Linked DNA regions of Neurospora crassa OR74A. The protein of the gene in region 3 purifies or fractionates together with the protein of the main gene of each other region. This does not show direct contact. Links are inferred from orthologs where the notes say so. Each region holds a gene or a part of one and is shown on either strand. Other genes may lie near its edges.

Region 1 (8,065 bases), on a different chromosome or scaffold from region 3:
CCCTGTTCGCATCCCCGTACCTGTGCCTTCCCTCTTTCTCTTAGCAGACAGAAATTCGATATCGGGTAAGTCGTCGTCTCCGTCCGTTGTGTCCTGGGTTGCAGGTAATTCTACCGGCACATAAAACGGCTTGGGCTTCTCTCGTCTCGCTGTTGATGGCAACGAGCCTTTAGCTGCCGACGCGGTTACCGGTACAAATTTGGGTCCAAACACATCGCCATCATCTTCATCCGACGCGAAGGAATCTGGTGCTTGCTGCTTGCGTCCCGTTTTCGAGGACAAGGAAGACGACCCTGCGTCAGGAGCTGTTGTCGGCGAGGTGGACCCTCGGGGACGATGCTGTAAACTCGAGGTGACTTCGCCATCGCTGACGATAAAGTCCTCGAGGTCGGCACCGTCATCAGAGCCATCGGTACCCATTTCCATGTCGCTGGTGCGGGTGCAGTCGTCACCGTAGTCCACGTTGGGGTCTCCTTGTTTAGGTTGAGATTTTTTTCCCCGCCCGCTGCCACGTCCACGACCCTTGCTGCGGAAGTTTCGGGGCCTACTTTGTTCGTCATCGTCGACATTGCCATCATATTCGTTGCCACCCTCTTCACAGTCGCTGATAAGTGCGGTATGTCGTGCTCGAGGCTTGTTGGTCTGTTTGGAGACCCCGGTAGATTTGGTTTTTGCTGTCGCTTGACGTTTCTTAGGTGCGGCATATTGCTCTGCTTCCTCTGCTTCCTGCCCACTCTCGAGGCGCGGCCTCTTCTTTTGCCCCTTTCGTGACGTTTCTCCTTCTGTTTCGTCCGCAAGGGGCGGCAATGGTATCAATTCCCAGGAGGACGTGTCTGTTTCACCGTATGGCTTAGTATACCTATTCGCAGGAGCTTGAGACTTTGCCAGGCTCCTAAACAGTTTCACACATCGCTTGGTATATTCCCCGTGTTTGACATGGATGGTTTTCTGGACCACTCGTCTGGATGTTGGATGGCGATACCAGTCTATATCCAACTCTTCAACCTTCGAGTGTCCGAGGGGTATCTTTGTATAGTTTCTGCGGAGCTCGTTTTCCTGCGACGTGCTCAGCAAAATGCTTTCGAGTTTGGGCCGTTCGGCAATAAAGTCAGTTTCCTTAGGCGCAGGTGGCCTAGCGGGTGGTTTGGCTGTCTTAGCTCCAGCTTGACCAAAGAAAGAAGCCTTGATGAACCCTGTTTCAACACCGTCAGGCATGTTGAACTTCTTCTTTGCCGGCTTTGTCCTCATTCTTGCGGCAGATCTTTTTGGTTCTGGGAGCTCTGGATTTTGGGAGTTCTCAAGTGGAATCTCCACAACCTTCTTTTCCACCTCAGGTCGTATGTCTCGTGGCACAATACGTGAAGAAAGGTCGTGACGAAAGGTAAAGCGGCTGCCCTCGCATATCATTCTCTGCATGGTCGCGTAGTTGTCCTTCGCCTCGTTGAATTTGTCTTCCTCTTTCCCTTTCATCAACAAAAGTACAATGTTACCCGCTCTCTTGCGGCCGGTACGACCCATACGCTGAAGCATTCGGATCGGTGACGCTGATGCATCGTAGCAGACAATGAGATCCACTTGGCCAATATCAAGACCCTCCTCGCCAATGGATGTTGCGACCAGAACGTTGTGAGCGCCGTTCTTGAACTTCTCGATCGTCTCAATTTGTTGTTTCTGTTTCATGCCCTCACTCCTCTTCGAGTCCGCTTGTCCAACGAAGACTGTGGCCTTGATAAGGGGTTGCTTGTTGAGAATGCGCACAATCTCTTCGGCACTGTCTCGGTATTCACTGAATACAATGGCTCTGGTATTGGAGCCCTCGCCAGCATCCATGAAGTGGTTGACCAGGGTCTCACAAAGATATTCCAGCTTGGGGTGTCCGAGGAACCCATCAATCTTCATCCAACCCTCAATCATGTCCATCATCTTCTGAAAGTTCTCATCCTCCAAGACTTGCCGCTTGAGCTTTGACCCTTTTCCTCCTTTCTCCTCCTCGGTGGTGCGGAATTCGGCCAGATTATTGTAGAACGGTTTGATTCCATGGAAGTTGAGTAGTTTGATGGAATGCGCCAAACTCTGGAGAATCGCAAATGTGGCTATGACACTGAATTTGGTTCCTTGGTTTACGTGCCTACCCGGACCTGCCATCCAGTCATTCCTGGCTTTCATCAGGCCGTAGGTAGTCAGGCTCATGGGGTCCCTGCCGTAGTATATATTTTGTGAACTCAGCTTGGTCACAAGGGGCTTCAGGGCCTTGGAGAACAAGTCTCTGACTTCCATCATTTCGTCAGAGGGGTCGAATGTTATCGTGTTGATGTCTCTTGAGTGCACATATTGACGAATGTCGATTGACTCTTCGGTTCTGATCTCGACGTGAGAAATGCCCAGATTATCAATGACGTCCTGAACACCTTCGAGAGACGATCCTGGTGTAGCAGTCAGAGCAAGAATTCGAAAGCTCTTGGAGAAACGCCTTAAAAATTCGACCACCTTGACGTATGCATAGTCTCCAGTCGCACGATGCGCCTCGTCAATAACCAGCAGTACGATGGACTTGGGATCGGCATAGCCCTTGGAAAGGTCATTCATTAGTGTTTGGGGTGTCATGAAGAACAGGCGCTTTGTTGCCCATTCGTCCTCACGTAGAACAGGAGGAGTCTCTCCGGTTAGGAGAGTCGCCTGAGATCGCGGGATGCCCGCTATGCTGAGACATGCTTGAACTTGTTGTGAAGCAAGGGGTTTCGTAGGAGCAACAAAGACAGCCTTTGCGGTTTTTGTCCAGCGGATGTAGTTTAGCATGATTGTCGCAGCAATAAATGTCTTTCCCAAACCCGTGGGGAGGGCGACCAATGTGTTGTTGAAGAGGCCATTTTTGACAATGCTGAACTGGTAGTCTCGAATAGGTCCCAGATTCATCGGATAAACCCATGTTTTCATTTCTTCTATGTCAATCTCATGGTGAGTGGGCTGCTCTGGGGGCATATCGGCACGGAATGGTCGATTCGACACCGCTTGCGGGGCGGGTTGCGCATCCTCCTCCAGCGTGCCACCCCATAGTGTCGTCTGACGCAGATTCTTACGCTGGCTGGACTGAGCTAGGGACGGGCGAGACGTTGTCGCTGACGTGGTCGGCTTGCTTGCTGTTTTGGCACGCCCTGTAGCTGTAGCCTGACCCTGCGATACGGTTGGAGTAACGATTCGTCTTGCAGAATCGGATATTGGCCACGCTTGTGCTGGTGGTTTTGCCGACGAGGCAAGCTGCTTGCTGTTGCTGGGGTGATGTGATGTGATGTTGCCGGTGGCCTGGGTGAAGGCCAACATCAAATCCTCATCAGGAATATCGTCAAAGTCATCGTCATCCATGACTTGAGAGTTGTGAGGTTGTAGAAAAGAAAGAACCTTGACGATTCGAGATTCGATGCGCCGATGCTTGGGCAGTTAATACAACCGGACTTTGTTTTCTTGCCTTTTTTTTTTAAACTTCTTGTTCTGGTGATGAAACTTAAGGCTTGTCGGATGAAATTCTTGGAAGTGAAACAATTGACATTCATAACAGTCCGTTTGCATAGGTGAACCGACCCTATCGTCACACAAGCCCGGCCTGATATGAGACGCGTCGCTGTTTTAATGGACGGGCTATTCCCTTGACACGTTCCATCGCCATAGCACGTGAATTGGTGTGGGCAGTCTGGGTGCTGCCGCCTGGGGAGTTCGCAGCAGAACAGCGTCAGAGTGGGGCTGTTGCATCTTGGGTGGGGCAGGTTTGCGTCAAAATCCGATCGCTTGTCTCTGTGGTCCGCTGGAGCCTGGCGCACTGGTCGGAGCTTGGCTCATTGCCTTGAGTTCAAGTTGCATGCTCCTCCACTGCCGCCGCTAAGGTATTTCCTTTTTGGAGGTCCGGCAGGCTGAACCTTCTTTCTTCCATTCTCCAATCCGTCATCGAAACCTTCCTCATTTCTCGACCTTCTCGCGTCGTCAGTTGGCATCGGCAGCCCAACAAACTCTTCAGTACTGACCGGCTGATGACTCTTGCGCATCCTCGTACTCGCCCGTTGCTTCAGAGCTAGCAGCTTCCGTACGCATATTCAACCAACGATCACGAGCGAAGCGGCGGCCTTCTACTTCTACTTCCGTACCTTTGGATCTCCGCGTCGTCTTTGTCGCCCCACCTCCAAGCATCTTTTACATCTTTCTTTACCTCGACAAATCCCTTTAGAGAAGCGCACCTAGACTCTAAGCGAAGTGTCCTTTGACACCTATCTGGGCCACTCTCAAATACAGCGTCCCAAATCCACCCAGCGGTGATCAATCCCCGGTCGGCATCGGCCGCCTGTTTTTCTTGAGCAGGCCGCTCTCCCGCCTAACGGCGACACCAAAGGTAAGCCTCGACTCTGCATCTTAGTACCCTTCCCCAGTTCCCCCGACCACGACCGGAACTTTGACCATCGGGGCAGCGAAGAAGTCGGCGAACAAGGACAACTCGCAACTCCACGACTCACTGTCCTTTCATCAACAACTCGGCGAGAAAAAAAAATCACCCGCAACTCACACCGAACGTTTTCTCTTCAGAATTCAACGAACAACCATGGCACCTCCTACTGGTCCTCGCGCCGGAACTGGAAGGGCTCCTCCTCGTGGACCCCGAGCAACAGGCGGCGGTGGCGGAATCCAGAAGCGTCGCGCAAACCCGAGGACGGACCGAGATGGAGATGTGTCAATGGATGCTCCGGCTGGTGGCTCTGGTAGGGGTGGGTTGGCTTCCGGTGGTCGAGGACGTGGCTCCAAAGATGCTCGAGGTGGAAGAGGTGCGGTGAACTCCCGGACAGCATCCCGGGTCGTGCAGAACCTACAGAACTACGTCAGCGGAGGTCCCGTCGGCAAAACACAGTCCAATATGGCCACACTGAAGATTCACGGTATGAGCAATAGCAAAGCTACCGGCAATCGCGATGGAGGGCTTCGGTCACTTCTCACCTTTCTGGAACGAAAGGCTTCCAAAGACAAAGCAGTTACAATCGGCAAGGTATACTTTCCCATCCACCGACATCCCCAAGCGCGCAATATTCTGCAACTGCGATAACCGACACCTTCTAACCCATCGATAGAGTATAATGGACGGCGATTATGTGTGGATCACGGTCAGAAAAGATGACGCCCCGGAGATCTTGAGGCTCAATGGCTTCACCTATGCCGGTGCACCCCTGACGATTACGGAAACCACCGAGAGGATGCCTCGCCCCGAAGACAAGATTTCCAAGGCTGCTGAGGAGACCAAACAAAAATTGACAGCAGTGCTAGCTGCGCGCTACAATCCAGAGTTGAAGCTGCTTGACTTATCTTCTCTTGGAACCGATCCCATCCTCAGCAGCATGGGCACGTTTGATTCCAAGGATCGGGCCGAAAAGGCCTTCAAGGTCTTGGTAGTTATTGCTAGTCAGCAGTACAAGACCGCTGCCGAAAAGCGTGAAGGGATACAGGCCATTTCCCTTGCTAGCAACGGCCTTAACGACGTCATGCAGGTTTTCACGCTTGCTACGTCACTTCCAGATATCAAGAGACTTGACCTGAGCAGCAACAACCTCGACAGTCTGTCCAAGATCTCCAAGTGGCAGCACCGCTTTCAGTACCTCGAAGAGCTTCATCTCACAGGCAACCCCATCACCACCCAGCCCGACTTCGTGGCAGAACTCATCAAATGGTTCCCATCGCTACAGAACATCAACGGACAAATTGTTCGCAGCCCACAAGAGGTTACTGAGGCCCTCAAGGGCATGCACCCCACGCCACTACCGCAGTTCCCCTCCAACCTACGGGACGGGGAGGCCAATGTGGCGAGCATCTTTGTCCAAGTTTTCTTCCCCATGTTCGACAGCGACAGAGCTCGCCTCGCCGCTGAGTTCTACGACGACGACTCGTGGTTTTCGATTCAAGCCATTGCCAATTCTGGTCGTAATCTTCCTTGGAAAACTTACCTCAAATACTCCCGCAACGTTCACAAATTGGGAGAGAAGAATCCAGCAACGGTACAACGTCTCTTCACCGGAGGAAATCTCATTGCGGACATGTGGAAGGCTCTCCCCAGTACTCGCCATCCAAGCATGGAGAACCCTGGTGCCTGGCTCATCGACTGCCACACCTTCCCCAACCTCGCGGACCCCACCGGCCACGGCTTCGCTACGGGATTGCTCATCACCGTCAATGGCCAGTTTGAAGAGTCCGATACTACAGAAAACCTCTACGGAAAGCGCACCTTCACGCGCACGTTCATTCTTGGACCCAGCAAGCCGAGCAACCCGCCGCCGGTGCACCCATACCGGGTTATTAGCGATCAACTCACCCTTCATGACTGGACACCCGCGGAGACACCTGCTGGTCAGGCCCCTGTCGCCAACCAGGTCCCGCAGGTTCCGGTTACCAACGCTGTGCCTCCAGCAGAACCTGTCATGTTGGATGATGCCACGAAGAACCAGCTGATTCAGGAGGTGATGAAGCGGACTGGCATGACAGCAGAATACTCAGAGTTGTGTCTCAGTGGCACTGCCAACTGGAACTTTGAGCTGGCACTCAAGTCATTCGAGGAGCAGAGGGCGAACTTGCCGCCCACGGCCTTTATCAACGCTGTCTAGGGGACAGCGCAGGTCACCAGCGTCAGCATGGTTTGTTAGTTCATGGTGGATCAGCGCTAGTTGGGTAAATACCCTCTGCCTGGATGAGTTGGAGACAAAGGAAAAGGAAGACAAAAACTACTGAAAGCCAAGGAACGAAGACTGGGAAAGAGGAAAGGGTTTAAGGGTCAAGGATGAACTTTGTACAATACTTGCATTGCCATACTATCTCAAGGGAGCAACGGAATGGGTCGGTTAGCGGAATTCTTATAAGGCGGTCACTCGACTTGATATTGCGGAAACTTAGCGTGCGTTAACAATTGAGATACCTGGAGCTCTTTTGGGCTTTGACCAAAGAGTCTCCCACATTCACGGTTTTTTTTCATCTAATTATAATCTCTTTTATTAATATTTTCTCCTATTTGGGTGAGGACGCTTACGGAAGATGCTCGAGCGTAATTGGTACACAACGTTCATGCTGGTCAGGCCCAGTAGCTTAACCACCGTGAAATTGGTAACCACGGTTGTGATAAAGTACGAGATCACACAGCTAATAAGATCTCGAAGCCGCGCGCCATTCTTGGCGATTGGGGTTTGGTGGTGAGCATCTGATTGTTGGTTTCCCCATCATGCGACGTTTCTTGAATCGCTGCTCCACTGCGGCCACTGCCACCCCGGCAGTGGATCGGTACCTGCATCTGTCGATCTTTCATAGGGCGGCTTTGGGAGAAAAATGCTGAGTGGTCCTGGTACGATGAGCAGTCATCATCACCTGTTTGGCCTCGTCCAATGGGCGCCGGCAAGAGTTTTATCGGATGAGGGGTAGTATGGGCGCTTACTTGTATTGATCTTGGTTGTTACGACTTACGATGGGGAAACAATCATGTTCGACACTTGAACCTGAGTGAGAGCCAGGAATAAATTTTCCGTTGAGGATTGGCTTTTTCTACGCTTTTCGCTTTTCGGCGATCGGTTAGGTGATCGGTTATCTATCATCAGTGGGAGTGATCGACATTTCATATGCTGGCTAAAGGTATGTGATCGATTAGATGAAAGACGACCAAGCGGATGTGAATACTTATATAATCGCGGGAGTTGCGACTTGTCATCCTTCAATTGAAGCCTTGTGTTGAGTAAGTGTGAGGTAAGGTAGTTTTCTCCAGCCAGAACCCATCACTGCATTCCAATGGTCGGCGAAAGTTGAGTTTCTATTGATCCTTTCCGTACGCCAGGACGCCATTCCTCGTCTCGCATTGCATTCTCGCCCACAACATGCGGCACATATAAAAACGTGTGTGACAAGTGTGCGTGTGCGTGACTGCGAGAGACGTGACCAAGTAGATACATGTGGGGATTTTGTACCTCAGTCTTGCTTGTTGTAGTGTAGGTTTGCTGCTGGGTAGGTGGATGAGAACAATCTCAGAGACTTCCTTTATCCTAATTCAAATAGCGATAGTTAGAAA
Region 2 (7,765 bases), on a different chromosome or scaffold from region 3:
CGTCTCGCACAGCTGCTTGGCAGCCACTAGGTCGAATACCGGTTCGGGCGGTGGTCCCTTCCTAGCGGAACTGGAAGAGCGGTTGGCGCTTCCTTCTGTGTTTGATCCTGCGGCGGCGGCGACGGTTTTGTTGACGGGTGGTTGCTTGGATGGGTTGCGGCTTGAATTCGAAGTCGAAGTAGTGGTAAGGTTTTGGCTGTTTTGGTTGTTGCGGAAGGCAGCGGCGGCAGAGCTAGCGCGTCGCGAACGACCTGTGCGTTCGTCGTCTGCTGCGTCGGGGTCGCCTAACGAAGGCAAGACGAGTTTCTTTTGTTTGGAAGCGGGGAGGATCTCGTCTAGGTCGACGGGGACGCCGAGGGAGACGAGGAAGAGACGACGGATGCGGGAGCGGATCCAGTCGGGGGGTTGGAGTGGGGGAGGGGCGACGAGCTGTGACCAGAGGGAGGCGGAGCGGGGGTGTTGGAAGATGGGGTCGGTGATGCCGTTGGAGACATTGAGGGTGGGGATGGGGGAGGAGGAGGAGTCGTCGCCGTCGGTGTCGGGGGAGGGAGGGAAGAGAGCGTTGAGGTAAGGGGAAGTGAGGGAGAGGATCTCGGACGCGGAAAGGTGGGTGAAGTCGGGTATTTGCTAGGGGATATGTTAGTGTGTGTTGGACGTAGAGGGAGTAACTGGGTTGGGGACTTACGAAGGATAATGAGGACTGCGGTTGTTGTGGTTGCGGCTGAGGAGCAGGTGCTGGAGCTGAGAACCCTTCGGCTTCTTGGAAGTCATCGTCGTCAAAGCCGGCATCGTCAAAGTCGCCAAAGTCAGCATCGTTGTTGGCCTCGGCTCCCTCCTCAAAGTCGTCAAAGTCATCCCCAAAGTCATCGGCGCCAGCCGGAGCTGGCTCAGCAAAGTCGTCCCCAAAGTCGTCATCACCAAACCCGTCATCGTCGGGGGCTTTATCCCCTGCTTCAGCAAATCCGTCGTCGTCGTCGTTGTCGAACCCATCTTTTTCAACAGGCTTCTCCTCTTTCTGGTCAAAGCTGACATCGTCCTTCTTGTCCTCTTCTGGCTCGACCTTCTTCTCGTTCTCTTGACTGGGTTCTGCCTCGTCGAAGTGGTCCTCTGTGTCTTCTTCCTTTGTATCTTGCGTCTCAAGCTCTTCGCTGGCATCCTCGAACTCGTCTCCTTTCAATGCTTCTTCGGTGTCGCGGTCTTTTGACTGTTCCTCCTCGTGCTTCTCGTCCTCCACCTCTCCATCTTGAGCCTGCTCAGTCTTGACCTCTACATTCTCCTCCTCCTTCTTGGATTCATCTTCATCGGCGTCTTCGTCGTCGGCGGTCTTGGCGTTGTCTCGTACGACATTGTCGTGCGCGTCATCTTTTGCCTCCTCCTTTTCTAGAAGACTGGGCCCCAATGAGGGCGAGTCAGGGGATGGCTGGTCTAGATCAGATGACGAGTCTCTAGAATGGATCGAGGCGGGACTCTTTAATGCAGGTGGTATTGGTGTATCTACGCAGGAAAACGTAAAGTCAATACAAAGGAGATCTTGTATAATTTGCTGGCTCAAAAAAAAACAAACAAACAGGCATGTGCTTGTGAAAGTGTGTGTGTGTGCGCGCGCGTGTGTGTGTGGCTAGAAAGAAGTGCTACGCATCCGTACCATTGTCACCACCCTTCTCATGCTCGACCTTTTGCCCATCCGCCTTGACAAGCACGTCGGGAGGACTGTCAACCCTGTGCCTCGCTTCGATCTCATGGTGGGTGACGGCACCAGTGCTATCTGGCGTCTCCTCCACTACGGTCATGGGAATGGGGCGCCCGCCTGGAGTGGACGGCCGGCGCTGGTCATGCTCCTCGGTCGAGAGCTTGGTGTCTGGGTCTGGGATAATGGCAAATTCATCCGGCTTCGCGTCCCCTTCCCTCATAGAATACGCCTTGGTCCCCGGGACCTCTCCATACGCCGGCTTGTCGTCTACTCTCTCGACTCTTGTTCGCGGGATGGGCGAGGAGGGAGCTTTGGGAGAAGAGATGGCATCGGAGTAGTGATCTTCGGTGTCGGAGCCTGTTGTCGCGTAGAATGAATGGTTAGTTGGATATCCATGTGCCGACTTTGTCCAGAGGTCTCCCAAGTTCCCCATCAGCTGTAACCTACCAGGTAGCTCATGAGCGCCCGGGTCCATGGTCCCCTGCCTCTCGGGAGGCGACAGACTGTTCCTGCGCGAAGCCATTGTGATCTCGAAGCGTAGTCGCGGCGGTCTATACGATCAAAGAACAAGAGGATTTCCGACTATGGTGAGTGCTGAAGGAAGCGCAGAAATGTATATGGTAGGTAGGAAGCAAGATAGGTGTATGTATATGTATATGGATATGGATATGGATATGGGAGGATCGGGATCGGGGATCGGGGGGCCAAGGTGAGGACTGAGGAGTGATGTAGTTGGTGTGGGGTGCTACAGTATGTTTACTGCTGTGAGGGACAGGACTGGAGTGTCCTATAACAAGACGGGAGTAAGCCGACTCTTATACTCTGCAGGAGATAGGTCAATTGCACGCAGCAGATGGCCTGAGGTCAAAGTGAACTGAATCAAGATTGGGTATGCACACAGACGTTGCGGCTGACTTGTGGCATCCCAATGTCCAGACGATGGACAGCAATGTGTGTGGAGAGAGACGAGAGAAAGGAACAGCTTCCGGATGGCCTAGAGTTAGTCTAGAGGATGGGCTCACGATGGCCTAATCTAGAACATGGGGTAACCACCACCCCAAGCTTTCCGAGACGACTGAACGGGGCTCCTGCTTCTTGCTCGGCTACCCTGGGACGGTGCGGTACGGTACGGTACGGTATGGTACTAAGGTACCGCCGTGTCCGGAAACTGTATGGTAACTCGCTGCGTAATGTGCTGCAACCAGACGGTCCAGTCAGAATGCAGAAGAGCATCACGGCAAGTGGAAAGTCAGCACTTCGCTTCAGTTTATGAGGCCCGCCCCGTCATTGCTCAAGTTCTCCGTCAGTTGTCGAACTGCCGTCAAGCCACATATTGATTGGCCGTGCACGCTTGGCACTTGCTAGTAAAATGTTAGACGGGGTAGGTGAGGTGAGGCTGACCACTTCACCTGGGGCTGACTCGTTGCAGTGGTGACTGGAGTGCTCCAATAAGCGGGAAATGCTTGGCCTTGTTGAGTGCGCGTCCGGGTCCCCAGAAGGGGAAAAGCCCAGGCGCGCTGCAGCACCTCCAAAAAAGTGGAAAGGCCTGTCGCGACGGACGGAACCTTGACAAACAGAGACCGAGAGACTGAGTGACGCTGCCACACTTTCTTTGCTTTCTCCAATCCACGCCCAAACGACGTCCACGTCCACTCCACCAAACGGATTCCGAACCGACGTCCAAAACTCGCGATCCGATAACCACGGCTGGACCATTGCATCACTTACTCAAAACCGAGATCGCGCCGATCTTCCTCTTCGCATTTCAACGAATCGTTGCTTGGGTTTCCGCGCGCTCCCTGTTGTTGTTGAGGTAACCGCAACAGCCTTGGGAAGTGGGACGCTGTTGTTGACTTTCTAGATTTTGGTTGACGACGACTACCCAACCACCAACGCCTCATCCATCCATCCAACCAACCAACCCCGAAACCTCGACATCATATCGTCAGCCTCACATAATCGCAATCATGTCATTCTTCGGTACACCAAGCTCCAGCGCGGCCTCGGGCCAACCAGCAACAACTGCTACATCCGGTGGTCTCTTCGGAGCCTCCTCCTTCGGCACCCCAGCAGCGAGCTCGACACAGCCAGCCGGTAGCTTGTTTGGCGCTAAGCCTACAGATGCCTCGAAACCTGGAGGACTATTCGGAGCCAATACCACCTCGACTACACCTTCGCTTTTCGGCTCTGCTTCCAACACTGCCGGAGGAGGCAGCACGACGCCTGGCGCAGGCTTGTTTGGAAACACCACTGCCAACACATCGACAACCCCCGCCGCTGGTGGCTCGAACTTGTTTGGTGGCGGGGCCAGCACCACACCCGCAACAGGAGCTCCTTCGGGAGGTCTGTTTGGAAACAATGCTTCTACTACTCCGGCTACCGGTGGTCTCTTCGGAGCTGGCGCCAACTCTCAGACGACGCCGGCTAAGACCTCGTTTGGACTAGGATCGACTACCCCAGCCGGTGCACCACCTGCTGCTGACGCTTCCAAGGCCGCGCCCTCTCTCTTTGGTGCTACCCAGCCTGCCTCTGGCAACCTCTTTGGAGGAGGAGGAGCCTCGAGTACCCCGACCACAACCCCTGCCCCCACCTCGGGAACAACACCATCTCTGTTCGGAGCGAAGCCAGCCGAGACCACCACCTCTGGCACCACTTCTGGTCTCTTTGGCGCCAAGCCAGCCGAGCCTGCGTCCAGCACAACTCCCGCGACGACAGCCACTTCCGGATCTACTCTCTTTGGCGCGAAGCCTGCGACCAGCGGTGGCAGCCTGTTTGGCGGAGCCTCGACAACCCCGGCTACGACATCGACCACGACCACCACAGCACCAGCAACTTCCGGCCTCTTTGGTGCCAACACAAGCAAGCCGGCCGAAGCCGCAAAGCCAGCTACGGGTGGTCTGTTCGGCGCCACTCCTGCTACCTCAGCTCCTGCCACCTCTACCACCACTGCTGCTTCCGGCAGTCTGTTCGGCGCCAACAAGGATGCTACCACTACCTCTACTGCCCCAGCATCAGGAGGCTTGTTTGGATCGACTACGCCTTCGACGACCACAACCACGGCGCCTGCTCCTTCGTCTTCGACCACAACTAGCGGCCTCTTCGGTGCGGCCACCACCAAGCCCGCCACTACCACAGCGGCCACCACCACTGCCGGTGGGAGCACCACCGCCACTGCTGGAACCACCAGCAGTCTCTTTGGAGGAGGAGCCAAGCCTGCGGACACCACCACCTCCAAAACCACCACCAACAACACCACTACTGCCGCCGGCACCACCAGCACCACCGGCAACCTCGCCTCCACGACCACCGGCCCCACTTCTACTCTCCCGCGGTTGAAGAACAAGACCATGGATGAAATCATCACCCGCTGGGCCACCGATCTCTCCAAGTACCAGAAGGAATTCAAGTCGCAAGCCGCCAAGGTGGCCGAATGGGACCGCCTCCTGGTCGAAAACGGCGAGAAGATCCAGAAGCTGTACACCAGCACGTACGAGGCCGAAAAGGCCAGCAACGAGATCGAGCGCCAGCTCTCGGGCGTCGAGTCGCAGCAGGACGAGCTGACCGCGTGGCTGGACCAGTACGAGGCACAGCTGGAGGAGTTGTTCAAGAAGCAGCAGCTTGGATCCGGCGGCGAGTCAAAGGCTGCTGGCGGTGTTGGCGACGGCTTGGGCCCCGATCAGGAGCGCGAGAGGACGTATAAGCTTGCCGAGAAGCTGACGGATAGGCTGGATGAGATGGGCAAGGATTTGGCCAAGATGATCAAGGAGATAAATGATATGACGGGCACGTTGAGCAAGGGGAGCAAGCCTGATGATCCGGTATGTTTTTCTCTCTCCCTTTTTTTTCTCCTCCTTTTTCTCTCCTTTTTCTCCATTTTTCCCTTATTTTATCCAATCACTAACGCACACGATAAACAAAACACAACAGCTCAGCCAAATCGTCCGTGTCCTCAACGGTCACCTTCACCAGCTTCAGTGGATCGACCAAAACGCCGCCGACCTCCAAGCCAAGGTGGCCGCTGCCCAAAAGGCTACCAGCGGCATGGGTGCCCACCAAGGCGTCAACGAGTCGGATGCCGCTCAGAGCTTTTACCGCTCGTACAGGGCCGGTGGTGTGAACAGGTGAAGGGAAAGGGAAGGGAAGGGAAGGGAAATAAATGGGCTTTGATGATGCTGTATTGTAGGAAGCTAAAGTAAAGTGAAGTATGAGTGAAAGAGAAAGAGAAAGAGGCTGAAGAATCGGATGGCGGCGAACTTGTCTGTGTGTGTGTGTGTGTGTTCAGTTTTGAGTACCCTACCTACCCTAGTTTGTTGGTTTGTTGGTTTGTTGGTTTGTTTTGTTAGTCTGTGAAAGACCATCATGGTATGATTTGAAACGTCTTGTATATGTATCGTGGCTGTGGATGGGGGGGGATCGATGATGTTAATTTACGTAGCTGAGATCTGTCTGTCTGTCTGGCTTTGGGATGGGTTAGGAGACAAGAAAAAAGGCTATGCTATGCTAGGCTGGGCTAGGCCACTTATTCTAGGTTGTGGAAGCAAAAATCAATAAACAAGATGGGTTCAAGGTAATGGCCACAGTCCAAAAAGGGGTTCATTACATCTGGAAGGGAGTTCATGTGTCTGTTTTTTTCGATATATTGTCTTCATATGATGTCGAGTGAATATCATACATATCGGACTGCCGAACTGTACATATAGGTACCGACTGCCAGGAGTTTCATTTTGAAAACCGAGACGTAGAGCATCATTGTTGTGACTCAGAACGTCGGTGGGTATCAGTGAAATTTCTTATAAGACGGACTTGAAGTTGTTAATACTTCAGTAAAGTACCGTCCCGTCTGCTTTCTTTTTCATGTTCCATGTAAGTGGCATTAAGATAATGAAGAGTCTTGAGTCTGGATCAAAGTAACTAGGTTTTGAAAAAAAAAATTAGTTACGGAACTACGTAGGCTGGCTTGCTTTCCTGATAACTTCATTACTCTTCAGCCGCATTATGAGATTCTGGTTCAAGGGCAAGCCGATGAACCCAATATCGCCCCTACTGCAGCACAGGAACTGTTCGACTCGTTTTGGACTTTCTCATAAGCTCGGTTCTGTCACGGTTTTGCTTTAGACACTTGTTCGTCCCATTGATGCAACTTGTGAGGTCCATAGGTCCCCCGGTCGTGATTTTGTGATCATCGATCATGGCTTTGCTCGCTATATTGCTACAAGGGGTAAGTTTGAGATATGTGTAAGATGACACTCATCCTCGGCGCGCCGTCCGTCCCCGTAGCCCAAGTCCCATCCTTTCTTAACCCCCCCAAATCCTTGGCCCCTTCTCATTTCATTGCATTCATACTGCGTAGGCGTAGTGGCGTGTGTAGCGATGGGACGTCGCGAGAGGGAATGATAATAAGCAGAGGAAGAAGAAAAAAAAATATGTTTATGGGTTGTTATTGTTGCTTGTTGTTCGTTTAGTTGCGCTCGCCGCCCTGCTCCCTGGTGATCTCGTCACTGTTTCTCGAATGTTAGTAACTGCCTTGTTTTTAGAACTTTCTTTTATTTGTGAAGGAGAATCGAGGCCCGGCTTCCTCTGATGATGGTGTGCGTAGCTGACTACGGCCCATATGATGCGCGCCCGGCCTGGTGTGTTTGTGGCGACTATGCGCCGGTGGTGGCTGTTGGCTGGCTGATGGGTCGTTCTTACATGTGATCAGAAAGAGTCTTGAGGTGCTTCTGCTGCTCGGCGAGCTTCTTCTTGAGCTCGAGGAGCTTCTCCTTCTCGCGCTGGCGGATAGCGAAATCCTCGTTGGCCTTCTCGCGGCGCTGGAAAGCGTCACTGGAATGGGAGGGTATGATGTCAGCGGGTTTGAACTAGTTGGAGTCGCCGCGTATCCACGTGCGCGTGCGAGGAACGCGGCGGAACAAAAACTCACCCTGGGCCGCCGGTCTTTGGGGGAGCACCAGTCTCACCGGCGAGAGCGCGGGAGGTGGTCGCAAACGCCCTGGAAACGGTAGGGCGAGCGAGCTTGGAGACGGTGGTGCGGAGCATCTTGATGGTTGGTTTGGTGGTTTGGTTGGACTAGAGTGA
Region 3 (7,989 bases):
CGCCGTCGCCGTTCTTACCCGATGCCGAACCGCGGTGCTCGATCTCGCGGATCCACGAGTCGACGACGCAGTTGATCCACTGTACTACCAACTTCCTGTGCTTGCCAACGAAGGGCGCCTCCTGAGCGTCAAACATGTTCTCCAGCACGCGGGCGATCAGGGCATGAGGAACGCCCAGCTGCAGGAAGGCAGCGACAGGCCAGCAAGGGTCAGCACCGATCGAGGCGTCCTGGTGGTTGTTGATGGCGTAGGCGCAGACCATGGGGAGAAGAGTGTCGACGGGGAAGATGAGGCTGTCGAGGGAGGTGCGGTGGGCAATGGACTGGATCTGGGAGACAACAGCCTCGTAAGGCATAGGGGGTGGAACTTCAAGAGCCTCGACACCCTCGGGCAATGCCTCGCCTGCCTCAATGAGGCGCCACACCTCTTGCTTCTGCTCGGTCTCAAAGTGGATCTGGTTGATGAGATTCTCCCACGTCTCTTTGATGGTGTGCGGGTTCTGGTAGTCCGCGGCGTTGTAGATGAGCAGGCAAAGGTCGTAGTATCCGGCCTGATCGGCGAAATCGTTGAAGAGCTACATGGTACAGATTAGCAACTAAAATAGCATCATACTTTTAGGGATTGACTCACAGTAGAAAGGCCCTGGACAGGACCATCCAGAACCTTCTCGATGTCAGGGAGCTTCTCAGGTACTATGCGAGGATCGGCCCTTAATCTCTCAAGCAAATCGTCCTGGATGTGGGCAATTTCCAGAAGCTCAGTCACTTCGTGGTTGAGAAGCTGCTGCTGCTGGCGACTCACACCGACAGTGGTGACGCTGGCGTTGGCCTTTGCTCTGCTCAACAAGGTAATGCGTTCCTTGATGCCAAGGGGGAAGTCTGACTTGGCGAGCTCAGCCTGCACTTGAGCAGCCTCGAAGAAGCGGCTGCGTTGTGTGTAGAACCGGCAAAGAAGATCGGCGTGCTGAGCATCAACCGCAGCGAGTCTCTGCAGGTACGTTACGACATGAGGAGAGTCGATGGCCAACATGCGGTCGGTCCAACCCTTCTCAATGTACCAGTCGTACAAATCAAGGTGGAAGACCTCGTCGTCTGAGCTATTGACGACGCTGTATGCCTCCGCCCGCTTGGTGGCAGCAAGAGTTGGCCTACCGTCAACAACATCGGGCTCTGAGGCCGACTCAATCTCTAGCCGGTCAAGGACCTCATGTATCAAGGAATAGCAACTTTGCCGGTCCTTGAAAGCCTTTTCACGGGGATCGTTAGCCGGCTTGCCTTCGTTGAACCAAGCAAGGGCCGCGTTTCCACGGTCCTTCTCTCGCGCAACTATCAAGCACAGCTGGATAGCACCAGCGTAATACTTCAAATTGATGTACTGTTCGACCGCGTTGCGCAGGTTGGTCATGGTCAGGCTTCCCGCGACCTGGGAAAACAATCGCAAGCTCTCCGCAAGCAAGGTGCGCATCAGGTTAGGATTGCCCGATGACTCGCTGGCCCGCTGCAGTTGTTCTTGAGCCTTGAAAATGACAACGTCATCAGGGGAGCAGAAAGTGCCGCATCTTCTCCTGAGTGCATCGGCAACGGTCTCGACATTGGCTCCGTTGGCAATGTTGCGGTTAACAATAGCCTTCACCAGAACCTTGGCGAGCTCCTTTCCAGAGTCCTGAGAGAACAAAGCTTCATAGGTAAGGTTTTGCAGCTGTTGCTTGGACGAATCATCTAGGCGCATGAAGATGTCGGTTACCCGCTCATCGAACAGCATCAAGACGAAAGAGATGCCCTCAGACACGCTGTCCATAAGCTGACGCAGAGCGTGGAGAGACTGGTGCTCCAGCTGCAAAGCGATCTCCTCTTGTCTGCTAGAAACCCGATCGGAGGGTCCGGCCAGGCCCTGGATGAGACTTTTGTTTTCCTCAAGGAATCTCCTTAGTCGTTGCACACTTTCCTGTACCGTCATGAGCTTGGAGATGGGAATCGCCGAGCCAACAGTGAACCCGCCCGAAGCGCTATCCGTGGCTATCTCAATGACCTTGGACTTCCATAGGGTGCGGGCGAGGCGCGCAAGATAGAGCACCAGCGCATCGTGGCGAGCCGAGAGCTGTACGTTGTCCTCCGGTGCCTGCAAAACATCTGCGTCCGCAAGCTTGGGCTGACCACCGTAGTTGATGAAGATGGACCGCGCCCTGTCCTCAGTAAGAGGATCCACAGCACGACGGGCGTCTCCTCCTTGACCACATGCTACCGCCAAGGCAGCCGCGACCATTTCGACCCTGCCGTAGATGGCCGTAAACGTTTTCACCTTGCTGTCCAAATCCTCATCGCCAGATGCGACACGAATCGCATTAGCGAAGATGTCAACAAACCTCCTGCGGCGAACGATATGGATACCGGTGTTGGTGAGCACAGCGAATTCGCTTGGGGTATGATCGAACTGAACAGCTAGCTCGTTGCCAAATCCGAGCGGTTGTTTTGCAGCCGCAAAAGGGTTGCCAGTAAGACCGATGGAAAGAACTCGGCTTCCGTCACCCAAGGGGATGAAAGTACCTTGCTCAACATATCTGAGTACAGCGCTCTGCTTAAGTCTGCCGACATCGGGGGCTGATACAAAGAGCAGATCCGTGCGACTCTCTTTGGGTCGAACCGCGTCGAAGAAATAACCCGGAGGAAAACGTTCACCAAGGCAACTTTCCGAAAGTAAGCCAGACATTTGATCTTGAGCTGCTGCAGGTGCAGGTGCATATGCAACTGCAGTGTTGATCTCGTTGCGGAGGGGAACCTGCTGGTCTTCGCTCGTAGGAGGAAACTTGATGTATTGGACCTGCATGCTCTGAGGAGCAAGGCTGGTTGAGGCGCTCAGCATGTAGGATGCCGCGCTCGTCGCAGTAAGGAACAAACGGCATCCGGTGTTGGTGAGTGCCATGAGGTGAGACTTTGAGGCTTCTTGTGCCGAGATGGCGCTAAGAGAGACGATTCTCACTCTCTCGTTAAGCAAAGGGTTTCTGTTCAAGTCAACCATATGCGTCATGTCACTAAGGCACGAGACCTTGTTCTTTTCGATGACTTTTGTCAGTTTCCCAGAGGGCTCCATGAAGTATGTTCGAATGGTGGACTTGTCCGAGAGCGAGTATAGGAGTTTCCGAGTATCATCGACAACCAGCTGAACAAGGTGTTCCTGATCACGGTGGCCCAAGAAGCCCATTGGCACTGGGAGGTTAGGAACAACTGATGTCCAGCCAGGGTGTGTGTGGTTGACCTTGGCACATCTGCTAGAGAACCAGCGCTCCTCCTGCTGGTAAAGGAGCTCGTAGATGTCGGTATCGGTATAACCGCCAAAGAAGATACGGCCGTTCGAGGTACCGATGATTAAGCTGACATCGGTGCTTCCGCGATGTACTGCCATTTTTGTTTGGTAGAGGGCGACGGTCTTCGATCCCGAAGGGGTAGGTGTCGCGGATACGCCCAGCAAAACTATCTCGGTGCCCGTAGCAACGACTAGAATATGGGTGATGTTACTAACGAACACGCCAGGTTTGGGGGGCACTAGGGCAACCGCGGTGATGGTGGTGGTGGCATCCTCGTAGCCGATAAGTTCGGGGTTTGGGTGGGTATAGTCCCAGAGAAAGAGGGAGCTGTCAATAGCAGCCCACGCGTAGTTGATGTCGGCAAATAGGCCGAGTTGCGTGTTGACCTCTCCCCTGTTTAACCGCTCAAAGACTTGATCGGGGATGGGATACATATGAGTCTTCTTGAACGGGGCGCCGGGCGCGTCATCAGTCCTGTACATGTCATAGTCCGAGGAGGAGCCAGCTATTTGGGAGAGACATGGTTAGCCAGTCCTACCAGGTACCATGAGGGATGGAAACCTAAACAGGTAAGCTCACCTCTAGCATAAGAATCAACATCGGGGTAGTTCTCGTCACGTAGTAGGGTATTGGTGATGCGCCGCGCGGCCTTGGCAACCGGTGGTAGATCTGTGCGAGCTTGAGCTGGCACCATTGGAACAGGCACCTGCGAGACGGGACGAGGAGCAGCAACAGTTCCAGCACCGGCGCCGCCAACAGAGCCCGAAACGGGCCCAGTCACGGGTCCGGAAGCAACTCCGGCACCACCAGCATTATAGGACCCGAACCCTCCTAGCACCGGCCTCGCAGTGTTCTTTTCAGGAAGCGAGTCCAAGTAGCGTCGAGCATCATCGGTCCTGGGCGCAGCGGGCGTGTTGAGGAATGCACCGGGCACTTGGCGCATAGGTGTGGCTGGATTCATGATGGCGGATATGTGATGCTAACACCCGACAGGACGATGGTGGGATGGCAGCGGGATGGTTGTCGGTGCCACCTGCAAAAGCGGTTCAGAGTTCGTCGCGAGCGTCGAGGGGAGGGGAAGCTCCAGAACGAGGCGGATGGAGGCTGATGGAAATCTGGCGTCGGCACAAGTTGGAGCTCCAAGGGTGCAGCGTGATCTGGCAGCTTCGTGATTCTCCGCGCTTTGCTGTGATGCTGTGTTGTCGCTCTTGCTTCGTTTGCCCTCTTGCTTCAGGTCTCCCAAGTTGGTTGGTTGGTTGGTTGGTTGCTTGAGGTCACAAAGTCGAGAGCGCGGTGCTCGCTGCAGTCGGTGGGTGTACTGCTACAATTGCACCACCATCAAAGAAGGTCTGGGAATCCAGGGGAAGCTATAAAGTCCAACACGATGCGACGTGGTCGAGGAGCAGCGACCACAGCTTGAGGTGAAAGCGGTTGAGTTGTTGTTGTGGTGTTGAGAGCAAGGAAGCTCTGCGCGCGATTGGGCAATCACTGTCGAAGGTGGACTGTGGATGAACAGCAGAAGATTGAAGAGGCTGGCCCGCTCCGGCGGCGGGCTACCGTAAACAATTTTTGGCTGGAGAACTGGGACAGCGGTACGTACCTCTACCGCGACCGGGCAGGAATCATTGGTGCCCAGGGCGGTCGTTTCGCGGCTGGCAACTGGGACCTGCGACCTGAAACGCGAATTTTGGACGCGCCTGTGTGCCGGAGCAGTTGGACGGCGGGGACCACAGAAGAGGCGCTAACCTCTTTTTGGAAGCATGTTTTTCTACCGCCTATAGAATGTCGAAACCGTCCAATCATCGTCGAGAACGTCATCGAATGCCCGTCACTAGAAGTCGGATTTGCAACTCAGAATATCAACTATAGACAGACAGCAACTGCTCTTGATCTGTACCAAAAATACATTGTGCAAAAATATGGTTGCTTCATGATCATCGTTCAATTATCATCTTTTAGCTTTCTGTACATTCCACTCACATTATGAACTCGTCTGCTAACAACGGGCCGAAGTTTCTCATTTTCTCTACAATAGATACAGGGTCCGAAGGGTGGATGTAACGCAGGCCAATGGGATGTGTCTTTTGGCTAGAGCCATCATGCCACAAGTCCATGCTCCTTCCCAGCTTCACGTGAGAAACATGGTAGCTAGAAGCTGCGATATGCGCTTACTGCTTCTTGGCTTCACGAGCGGCCTTGCGGAGAGCGCGGTTGCGGATGTCGATGTGCATGTTCTTGTTCAGCCTGAGGGTAAAGTAGCTGTAGGCACCGACAGTGTTCTCAACAACCCACTTGAACACAGCATGGCTCCACCAGGGGGTGTAGGTGTTAGGAAAGGGCTCGGAGCTGTTGAGGCCAACCTTGCCGAGAGCAGCGCGGACGAACTGCTTGGGGTTGGGGATGAGGAGGCTGGTGCGGCGGATCTTGCTCATGGCAGTGGTAACGAGGTAGCTGACAACAAGGTGGACATCGACGCCCTGGTCCTTGAGCTCGGCAGAGAGAGCGCTGCTCCAGTGCTGGAGGAACGCCTTGCTGCCGCTGTAGGTGGCAAGGTAGGGGGTGGGCATAACACCGGCGAAAGAGCCCATGGTAAGGATAAGACCCTTCTTGCGCTGGGCGAGGATGGGAGCGACAACCTTGGTGGTCTTGAGTGTGCCGAGGCAGTTGATGGTGACAATGTTCTGGAGCTCGTCGCGGTCGGTCTGGAGGAAAGGAACGGGGATGCTGTGGGACTGGCCAACGTTGTTGATCAAGATACCAATGTCGAGGCCCTTGATGAGCTCGGCGAGACGCTCGTAGTCGGAATCGTCGTCCTTGGAGAAGTCCATGGCGAAAGTCTTGGCCTTGAAACCATCCCATCTGAGCTCGAGCTCCCTAGCAAGGACGTCCAGCTTGGACTGAGTGCGAGAGACGAGAACGAGGTTGAAGCCCTTGGAGGCGAGCTGCTGGGCGAACTCCTTTCCGAGACCATCGGAGGCACCAGTGATAACAGCCCAGGTGCCCTTCTTGCCATACTTGCGGAGCTGTCAAGGTTGATGTTAGCCACATTCACCTGACAATCTTCAGTCCCAAGTAAGTTTGCGAAGAGACGTACGTTGGTGCCGCTCAGGATGAAAGCGTTAAGGAGCAGCTGGAGGAAAGCGCCGACGCGAGTAGCGACGTAAAGGGCGCCGATGCCAGCAAGGGCCCATTGGCCATATTGAGGGACAGTGCCCCAGATCTCGGCAACCTTATCCATTGCGTACGGACTGTCGGCGAAAGTCGTTGATGAAGGAACGCCTTTGGTTTGAATCGGGGAGTTGTGACACTTTCAAAGTTGGGTCCGGTCGCAAATAATTGTTGGGAACTTTTTGGAGGACCTGGGGTCGACTCGCCTACTATGTACACTTGCATGTGTCAGCCGCCAAGATTTTCGAGACGTCCCGCCCCGCGGCCCCGGCGAGAGGACCTGGGCAGCTGGGTTGTCCCCGCTTTTGCCGAACCATCACTCACTCGACGCCGCCATTGAACTCCGACGGAGCTGGCCATGGGCCAATGGATAGAGGAGAAGGGGGAGCCTGGCGGATTTTGTTTGTTGTCTCCAAAATGTCGTCCAATGCCCGTGGACCTGCGTCCATGATGCTACGATGACCCCTGTCTCTCGCGCTTGAGAGTGGCCCGAAGTGTGGTTTCCATCCGATCCTCGAGCCGCTGGAACAAATGGAGAGCTGCAACAGGAAGGGCAACTAACACCTCAACAACAAAAGGTCTTCTCAATACAAATATCCTGGACTTACGATAGCTTTCTTCCCTGACGACAAACCGCTTCATAACTGTTTGAACCAAATGGACGCTATCAAGGCTTTCCTGCCTTCGGGCGAGAAGGGTCTCCTTCCCTACTACCTCTTCTTTGTAAGTTGACGGTTGCTGGTCCCCCTGACTCTTCACATGGTTTCGCAATTAACACGCCCTTCGTCCAGGTCTCCATCGTAGCTATGGGAAACGCCCTCCAAAACTACACTACTCTCCACTACACGCGACGCCTTTACAACGGCCGTTTCGTCCCCAACCCTTCCCTGCCGCCCGCAAAGGGCAAATTCAGCCCGGAGGACAGCGTGGACGTGCTGAAGCCCGTCTCGCCCTCAGAGGCGGAGAAGAAGGAGGCGGCTGCCAAGGACCAAGTCACGCCGCTGGCGGCCCGCGTCTTCGGTACCTACACCTTTATGGCCGGCATCATCCGCTTCTATGCGAGCTACAACCTCGAGAACGAGTCGTTGTACAAGCTCGGTATCTGGACCCATGTCATCGCCGCCGTGCACTTTACGAGCGAGTTCTTCATCTACAAGACGCTGCGTTTCAGCGGACCTCAGATCTTCCCCTTCTTGGCGGCGTATGGCGGCACGTTGTGGATGGTGTTGCAGTATGGTTACTACGTCCAGTAAAAGACAGGTGCAGCTACCAGCTGGTCTTTGGGAATCAAAGCAGGAAGCAGTACATGGCCCCCAAAAAGGAATGGCGAGTGGACTCGGATCATGACCATAAGAAGCGCGATCGCGTATTAGGTGAAATAAGACTCCGACGATAGGCTTTGTGGAAGATGTACCACTTATTGATACCCTTTTCGGTCAAGAAGCGAAGCAAGCGCATCATACATTTCCACTACTGCAACGACTTGCGATAGAGCTCACCACCGCAGTCTCTGAGTCGCG

What was found.
Region 1: the proteins of NCU04463 (region 3) and NCU09317 purify together in Saccharomyces cerevisiae (affinity purification with mass spectrometry; 3 studies listed by BioGRID). This does not show direct contact. The link is inferred for Neurospora crassa OR74A from reciprocal best matches to the Saccharomyces cerevisiae genes NUP170 and MEX67.
Region 2: the proteins of NCU04463 (region 3) and NCU02808 purify together in Saccharomyces cerevisiae (affinity purification with mass spectrometry, with the first as the bait; 3 studies listed by BioGRID). This does not show direct contact. The link is inferred for Neurospora crassa OR74A from reciprocal best matches to the Saccharomyces cerevisiae genes NUP170 and NSP1.

What each region holds. Positions count from the first base shown.
Region 1 is NC_026501.1:4,262,226-4,270,290, forward strand, and holds NCU09317 (hypothetical protein), read left to right. Parts: upstream 1-3,848; 5' UTR 3,849-4,375; intron 4,376-4,451; 5' UTR 4,452-4,582; coding exon 4,583-5,020; intron 5,021-5,102; coding exon 5,103-6,623; 3' UTR 6,624-7,008; downstream 7,009-8,065. Other genes in the region: NCU09318 (ATP-dependent DNA helicase mph-1), read right to left, coding at 1-3,360. UniProt on the Saccharomyces cerevisiae protein: Involved in the export of mRNA from the nucleus to the cytoplasm.
Region 2 is NC_026501.1:9,050,947-9,058,711, forward strand, and holds NCU02808 (hypothetical protein), read left to right. Parts: upstream 1-3,050; 5' UTR 3,051-3,657; coding exon 3,658-5,508; intron 5,509-5,617; coding exon 5,618-5,815; 3' UTR 5,816-6,165; downstream 6,166-7,765. Other genes in the region: NCU02809 (hypothetical protein), read right to left, coding at 1-627, 686-1,494, 1,646-2,047, 2,138-2,213; NCU02807 (uncharacterized protein), read right to left, coding at 7,149-7,188, 7,382-7,513, 7,611-7,726.
Region 3 is NC_026504.1:3,273,804-3,281,792, forward strand, and holds the start of NCU04463 (non-repetitive nucleoporin), read right to left. Parts: upstream 4,838-7,989; 5' UTR 4,263-4,837; coding exon 3,881-4,262; intron 3,807-3,880; coding exon 631-3,806; intron 575-630; coding exon 1-574. Other genes in the region: NCU04462 (3-ketoacyl-CoA reductase), read right to left, coding at 5,470-6,324, 6,396-6,539; NCU04461 (transmembrane domain-containing protein), read left to right, coding at 7,127-7,192, 7,261-7,722; NCU04460 (galactose-1-phosphate uridylyltransferase), read right to left, coding at 7,940-7,989. UniProt on the Saccharomyces cerevisiae protein: Functions as a component of the nuclear pore complex (NPC).